2 linked regions of the Macaca fascicularis genome follow. Each later gene encodes a partner of the first gene's protein in a complex. Links are inferred from orthologs where the notes say so. Each region holds a gene or a part of one and is shown in the gene's direction. Other genes may lie near its edges. The genes, in order: THOC3 and THOC6.

What was found.
Region 2: THOC3 (region 1) and THOC6 share a complex: the UniProt entries of both Homo sapiens proteins name them as parts of the transcription/export (TREX) complex. The link is inferred for Macaca fascicularis from reciprocal best matches to the Homo sapiens genes THOC3 and THOC6.

The regions. Positions count from the first base shown.
Region 1 is NC_088380.1:182,840,439-182,843,739, reverse strand, and holds part of THOC3 (THO complex subunit 3), read left to right. Parts: coding exon 1-199; intron 200-3,301. UniProt on the Homo sapiens protein: Component of the THO subcomplex of the TREX complex which is thought to couple mRNA transcription, processing and nuclear export, and which specifically associates with spliced mRNA and not with unspliced pre-mRNA.
Region 2 is NC_088394.1:3,820,328-3,824,885, forward strand, and holds the start of THOC6 (THO complex subunit 6), read left to right. Parts: upstream 1-1,503; 5' UTR 1,504-1,787; coding exon 1,788-1,826; intron 1,827-3,391; exon of another isoform or gene 3,392-3,661; intron 3,662-3,809; coding exon 3,810-3,925; intron 3,926-4,026; coding exon 4,027-4,091; intron 4,092-4,165; coding exon 4,166-4,269; intron 4,270-4,353; coding exon 4,354-4,391; intron 4,392-4,468; coding exon 4,469-4,517; intron 4,518-4,558. Other genes in the region: HCFC1R1 (host cell factor C1 regulator 1), read right to left, coding at 324-459, 694-822, 935-991, 1,308-1,402. UniProt on the Homo sapiens protein: Component of the THO subcomplex of the TREX complex which is thought to couple mRNA transcription, processing and nuclear export, and which specifically associates with spliced mRNA and not with unspliced pre-mRNA.

The DNA.
Region 1 (3,301 bases):
ACATTAATATCTGCTGGAGTCCTGATGGGCAGACCATTGCTGTAGGCAACAAAGATGATGTGGTGACCTTTATTGATGCCAAGACACACCGTTCCAAAGCAGAAGAGCAGTTCAAGTTCGAGGTCAACGAAATCTCCTGGAACAATGACAACAACATGTTCTTCCTGACAAATGGCAATGGTTGTATCAACATCCTCAGGTGAGGGGGTCTAGCTTAGGGGACTGTCATATCTTTGTGCTGGGTGCTGTGCCAGATACGGAGATGAATTAGATGTGAGCCTATCCTGAAGGAGCTTAAAACACAAATAGAATCCTAACCTGTTTTAAGTACATTTGAGCTGTATATTTTATATACTTTATATTTTACTGAGTCCTTACAGAAATTCTAGGAGTTGATGGTTTGCTTCTCATTTGACAGATGAGGATCTGAGGGTGAGAGGTTACATCAGTAGTCAGCTAGTGTTTGCTGGAACTGGATGCACCTTGAATTATGACTAATTCATACCCTCTTTTTTTTGAGGCGGAGTTTTGCTCTTGTTGCCCAGGCTGGAGTGCAATGGCGCGATCTCGGCTCACTGCAACTTTCGCCTCCTGGATTCAAGCTATTCTTCTGCCTTAGCCTCCCGAGTAGCTGGGATTAGAGGCGTGCCCCACCACACCTGGCTAATTTTGTATTTTTTGTAGTTTAGAGTTTCTCCATGTTGGTCAGGCTGGTCTCCAACTCCCAACCTCAGGTGATCCACCCACCTCGGCTCCCAAAGTGCTGGGATTACAGGCGTGAACCACCGCACCCAACTGGCTAATTCGTACTCTTAAAGTTTCAACTTAAATATCACTTTCCCTTCAGGGGAAGCTCTCCCGCTACCCCAAGGTTAGAGGTAGGTTAGAGGCTTACTTTATGTACTTTCTGTAGGAAGCACTTTCCTTCTGGTTGTAATTGCATGGTTATTTGCCCATGTCTCCTGTTAGACTGTGAATTCCATGATGGTGGGGATGGTGTTTGCCTTGTTTAGTGTTGAATCCCTAATGTCTAGTCCTGCACCTGCTCCACATAGAAGGATCTTAGTGAATGTTTGTTCTCTAAATGAATGAAATTGTGGAGCTGAAATTCAGATCTGTTTAATTCTAGCCTTCCACTATCCCAGGTGATCAATGTGAGGCCAAGTGAGATATGTTCCGTGGGGAGTTGAAGGAGGGAGCTTGTGAACTTTATCTTGAAAGATAAGCAGAATTTGAAGAATAAGCAAAAGGGAAACATATAAGTGAAAAAGCAGGCATGAGTGAGCATGACTTATTTGCAGAGTAGTTCGGTCAGGGTTGTTGGGGGCATGCTGGCAGATAAGGGAAATAAGAGAGGGCATGATAATGGGAAGATGAAGTCTGATTTGGGACCAGATTATAAAAGGCCTTTATTTTATGCCTAGTATCTTGGATTTTATTTTGTAGGCAATGGGGATTCTATAATTTTTTAAGAAAAACCTTTTTATTATAAAACACAGATATTGAAAACCACATAACACAAATGTGTAGCTTAACGAACTCTTATAGGCTTAACTCTTGTGCAGCCCTGCTCAAGTCGAGGAGTAGTTCTTTCCAGCCACCCTAGAAGTCCATCCAGGTGTTTTGTCCTAATTACAACTCCCTTCCACAAAAGCGAACACTATCCTGACTTTTATGGTGATTCTTCGTAGTTTTTCTACCACATGTACAGCCCCTAGATACCCTAGTTTTGCTCATTTAAAAAAAAAATTGATACGTCTTTTGTGTCTCTTAAATTACTCAAAAGAAACTTGCTAAAACATAGCTGCTGAAAAACCAGACTGGTAACCTGTGGAGATTCTCCCAGTTTGGCTTTTGCTGATTCCATGTGCTGTGTATATGTTGGACTGTTGTATAAAGAGATGCTGCTTCTTGTCTGCAATTTGGTTACCCAGTAGTGCAGTTCATCTAGGGAAGGCAGGATAAAATTTTGATTCTGTTTGTCAGATGATGATTTCGTTTCCTGCTGCCTCCAAAGATGACCAGTTAGGTTTGTTTTTTGTTTTTTTTTAAATCATTATGGGCTCGTGTTTTTAAACATAGTTGATGTGTTTCCATCTCTTGTAATTGTTACGCCTATTGAAGCTCAAATTATCCCATCTTTGGCCAATAAAAACGTCTTCAAGTTGGTTCTTAAGCCCTTTTTTGACATAATCCCAGTCATCTTCTGTTTTTTGCTCTCTGGTTTGATAAGATGTTTCAAGTTCATCTTGTACAATCTTGCCCCAGACCTTTAATCAGAAAATTCTCCAAGAAGCCTTAACATTCTGGCTGGGTGTCGTGGCTCACACCTGTAATCCCAGCACTTTGGCACTTTGGGAGGCCGAGGTGAGTGGATCACTTGAGGCCTGGCAATCATGGAGAAACCCCGTCTCTACTCAAAATACAAAAATTAGCTGGGCGTGGTGATGCAGGTCTGTAATCCCAGCTACTTGGAAGGCTGAGGCAGGAGAATCGCTTGAACCCGGGAGGTGGAGGTTGTAGTAAGCTTAGATTGTGCCACTGCACTCCAGCATCCTGGGCGACTGAGTGAGATTCCACCTCAAAAAAAAAAAAAAAAAGGAGGCCTTACATTCTTTCACTGAGAAATCATACTGAAGTTAGGAATGTTCATTACCGTTGGGTTGGCCTAGGAATTACGTGTGTGTGTGTGTGTGTATGTATATAAAGATAAAATACCTTGTGAACTCACATTGATAACTTCCAATTAAAATTGAGGACTCCGGGGATTTTATTAAACCTCATCTATATTACAAATATATTTCTTCCCTTCCAAATTGAGTATTCTGGTTCTCAAGGGCACAAGGGATCATAGAATTAGAATATCCGATGGTTACTTATTACCTGTATCCCGTGGTAAACATACAGATGTCTCTGAATAACAATATTACTGCCACTACCACCAATGTGATGACTTGAAACAAAAAATGTTTTTGCTTTTTGCATACACTCTTTGCATTCTTCCCCCATTAAAAAAAATAGTACTATATGTTGTAGGAGTGTGCAGCTGTTACATATTATACCCTCCCTTTAAACCATGTATAGTTTTTGCAAGAAACTCTATATTCAGTGTTCAGCACCAGTCCTTATAAGTCTTGAGTCATTTTTTTTATTGAAGCTCATTCTCTAGTTAAGATTCCTCGGGAAGCGTTCATGGGAACATTATTCCTGGAGTTTTTATTACAACTTATTTATGTACTTATAAATCTTATAGATTTTATAAAACATTATTTTGCTTATTGTTTGTATCGTTATATTTCAA
Region 2 (4,558 bases), on another chromosome or scaffold:
CAGGGAAGATCTTGAGGAGAAACCCCAGCATCCCGCACCTCTGCCCTCTCCACCATCCCCAAAAGCCCCAGGTTCTAGACTGAAGCCTTCCTTTGCTCAGCAATCTTTATTCAGTTCTTCTTGGGGGTGGGATGCCTCCCTTCCCATGCTCCCACCCCTCCCATCCCAGAGCTCCGTTGGGCTCAGTGTCCTCTGTTGAGGGAAGGTCTTGGTGCCCAGATGCCTGGTCTGCAGGAGAGGGAGGAACCTTGTCCCTTTGCAGGAGTCGCTGGTCTCTTCTGTTGTGGGGAAGAAGGAAGGTGGGAGGGGCAGTCCACCAGCACTCAGAGCTCCGTTATGTCTCCAGCTGGGGTTGCAGGGTAGGGGGGACTGGGGGTGTCCCCCAGCCTCAGCAGACGGAGGGCCTCGGGGATGAGGCTGCCAGGGTAGCGCCAGAGAAGCAGCTCAGAGCAAGGGCTTCTAGAAGAAGAAATGACTGTCAGGGCATGGGGCTAAGGCTGGCCTAGCTGAGCACCTCCCACCAGGTCCAGGTCCCCAGGGACTCCTGGGTTCCCAGCACTTTCCGAAGAGCGAAGATGAGAAACAACCCAGAGGTCAGCTAGAGCTAAAAATGGCACGATGAGGCAGGGCCTGAGGTCAGCTGCGAGGACCGCCTGTGATTCTGCAGAAGGCCTGGCCAGTGGAGGAGCCTACCTGAGTGGGGGCAGGGCTTGGGGGAAGGCCATGGGGGGGCTGCAGTAGGGGTGGTCATTGTGCAGGCTGAGTTGAGAGAAGTGGGTGGCCATGTTCTCCTCAGACAGAAAATGCTTGCGCAGAGGCTCCCTGGGGAGAGATGGGAGAGAGGCAGGCTGGGATATTGAGACAGGAGGCAGCCTGTTGGGGACCAGAGGTGACAGAGCTCTCGTTGGGAGTCCCTCCCTGCCCCCAAACTCACTGCTCCTCCTCCAGGCGCCGCTTGGTGCTCATGGGCACAGCTCCTCGGAGAGGGGAGCTGGGGAAAAAAGAGAGCCTGGTGCACCCCACCCTCTTGGCCCCTTCCCAAGGATATGCCTGCCTGAGCCTGCAGCATCAGCCAGGAGCCCCAAGCCCATTACTGTCTCAGCTGGTGCTGGTCCCCCCTCTCCTGGGCCATCCAGCAGCGTACTTCGGAAGTCTGGACCCTGAACTGCAGCCCCAATACCATCTCAGCTCACGCCTAAGCCCCACCGATTCGCCCCACCCCGTGTTCATCCTGCAGACCAGCCCTGAGCACCCAGCCAAAGCTCCTGCGGCCCTTGGTCAGGCCCACCCTGGTCCCCCACACGCACCTGGCGTCCAGGCCCCGAGTCACCCCCAAGGCGGCCCGCGGGAGGCGCTGGGCCCCACCCTGGGGGCCTCGCTCCAAGGGCTGCTGAAGGATCATTGGGTTTTGGGGTCCTGCGGGTGGGATCTGGGCGACAGGGGAGGAGTCTCTGAGGGCGTGGCCCAGCGAGGATGGGCGTGGCTTTAGGCGGGCACAGCGGCGAGGTTCTGCGCGGGCGCCGAAGAAGGGCGGCGCGTGGCGGAAGGCAGGCTTGCTCCTCGGGGTGGGGGAGGGTATCCGGCTTAGCGGGGCTGCGGTGGACACCACTTCTTAATGTCGGGGGTCTTCGCGGCGCTCACCTCGGCTCCTGGGGTTCAGGACGGTACGCAGCAGCCCCCTTCGCGCCGAAGGCAGTAGGGCGCCACGGAGAGGAACCGCTGTAGGCACGTAAGGCCTCGTGAAGTTGCGTCGCACGCGAAGCACTCTGGGACTTGTAGTTCTGGAGATGGAGCGAGCTGTGCCGCTCGCGGTACCGCTGGGTCAGGTGAGACGGACGTGGGGCGCGTTGCCTTCTGGGATTTGTAGTCCATTCATGGCTGGGACGGGGCGGGCAGGGAATTGTGCCCTTTGAGTCCTATTTTGCCTGGGCTATTTGTGGAACTCAGACGCTGACCGGGGGGCGGGAGAGTAACCCAGAAGTGCCTCAGGGGCTTAACGCAAGTCAGAGAGTAGGGATTATAAATCAGTACGTTTTTCTATGTTGGGGTAGTAGAGCCACCCCTATTTTTTTTTTTAATTTTCTAGTTCCTGCAAAGCACTTTTTTTTTTTTTGAGACGGAGTCTCACTCTGTCAACTAGGCTAGAGTGTAGTGGCACGATCTCAGCTCACTGCAACTTCCGCCTCCTGGGTTCAAGCGATTCTCCTGCCTCAGTTTCCTGAGTAGCTGGGACTACAGGCGTGTGCCACCATGCCCAGCTAATTTTGTGTTTTTAGTAGATACAGGGTTTCACCGTGTTGACCAGGCTGGTCTCGAACTCCTGACCTCAGGTGATCCTCCCGCCTCAGCCTCCCAAAGTGCTGGGATTACAGGTGTGAGTCACCATGCCTGGCCACATTTTTTTTTTTTTTTTTTGAGACAGAGTCTTGCTCTGTGCCCCAGGCTGGAGTGCAGTGGCGCGATCTCGGCTCACTGCAAGCTCCACTCCCCCGGGTTCACGCCATTCTCCTGCCTCAGCCTCCCGAGTAGCTGGGACTACAGGCGCCCACCACCTCGCCCGGCTAATTTTCTTGTATTTTTAGTAGAGACGGGGTTTCACCGTGTTAGCCAGGATGGTCTCGATCTCCTGACCTCGTGATCCGCCCGTCTCGGCCTCCCAAAGTGCTGGGATTACAGGCTTGAGCCACCGCGCCCGGCCATTTTTTTTTTTGAGATGAAGTTTCACTCTTGTTGCCCAGGCTGGAGTGCAATGGCTCCATCTTGGTTCACCACAGCCTCCGCCTCCCAGATTCAAGCAGTTCTCCTGCCTCAGTCTCCCAAGTAGCTGAGATTACAGGCATGCGCCACCACTCCCAGCTCATTTTGTATTTTTATTTTTTTTTATTTTTTTTATTTTTTTTATTTTTTATTTATTTTTTTTTTTTTTTGAGACGGAGTCTCGCTGTGTCTCCCAGGCTGGAGTGCAGTGGCGTGATCTCGGCTCACTGCAAGCTCCGCCTCCCGGGTTCACGCCATTCTCCCGCCTCAGCCTCCCAAGTAGCTGAGACTACAGGCGCCCGCCACCACGCCCGGCTAGTTTTTTGTATTTTTAGTAGAGACGGGGTTTCACCATGTTAGCCAGGATAGTCTCGATCTCCTGACCTCGTGATCCACCCGCCTCGGCCTCCCAAAGTGCTGGGATTACAGGCTTGAGCCACCGCGCCCGGCCTCATTTTGTATTTTTAGTAGAGATGGGTTTCTCCATGTTGGTCAGGCTGGTCTGGAACTCCAGACCTCAGGTGATCCGCCCACCTCGGCCTCCCAAAGTGCTGGGATTACAGGCGTGAGCCACTGCGCCCGGCCCCACATTTTTAAATTTTTTGTTGAGACGGAGTCTCACTATTTTGACCAGGCTGCTCTCGAACTCCTGGCCTCCCCAAGCAGTGGATGACAGGCATGAGCCACCACACCCGGCTTCAGCACTGAGTGACAGCCCCATGGAAAGCTCTTGTCTATACACTAGCTCATCTAATGGTGATGGAATCTTCTGTGAGCTCCACTTGACAGTTGAGGAAGCTGGTAGGAGAGTGCTGGGTGCTTGCTCAGAGGTCCCTGAGGCATCACCTCGACTCGCCCCTTCTTCAGTGTCTTCTTGGAGCCGCCCATGGGACTGCATGGGCAAGTGCTGGCTTGGGGCCGGGCCGCCTCAAAAGAGGGCTGAGAAGTCAGGACAGTGGGAAGCCTGGCAGGTGTTGGGGGAAGCAGGAAGGAGTCTGTGGCTGGGAGGTTTCATACATCCCAGGCAGGCCTCATCCAGTTCTTCCCTGCAGACAGAGGTGTTCCAGGCCTTGCAGCGGCTCCATATGACCATCTTCTCCCAGAGTGTCTCACCGTGTGGGAAGTTTCTGGCGGCTGGCAACAATTATGGGCAGATTGCCATCTTCAGGTACCCTCTGCCGCTGTCCACCCATTAGCCCTGGCACTTGGCCCTCATGGGACGGATGTCCCTGTTTCTGACTCCTGGGTCCCCTCCGCTGTCCCCTGCAGCTTGTCCGCTGCTTTGAGCTCCGAAGCCAAAGAGGAAAGTAAGAAGCCGGTGGTGACTTTCCAAGGTGGGTATAGCTGTGGAGTCTGGCTTCGGGACTTTGGGTGGAATTGGTCAACTCAGTTCTGCATTTCTCTTTAGCCCATGATGGGCCTGTCTATAGCATGGTCTCCACCGATCGACATCTGCTTAGTGCTGGGGATGGGGAGGTGAAGGCCTGGCTTTGGGCGGAGATGCTCAAGAAGGTAAGGAGTTGAGCTCGGGAAAGGGCTGGGGTGCCGGGACCCAGAGAGAGCCTTTGAGGTCAACTGGTATTTTCCCTTTTGAAGGGGTGTAAGGAGCTGTGGCATCGGCAGCCTCCATACAGGTGAGCCAGGGCCACATGGATAGAGGGGGCATCGGGGTGAAGTGACTTCCTCACTGACCCTGCCTTTCCTTCCCCAGGACCAGCCTGGAAGTGCCCGAGATCAATGCTCTGCTGCTGGTCCCCAAGGTCTGAGCCCCATGTGACTGTTCTTGTCCAAACTTTGATCC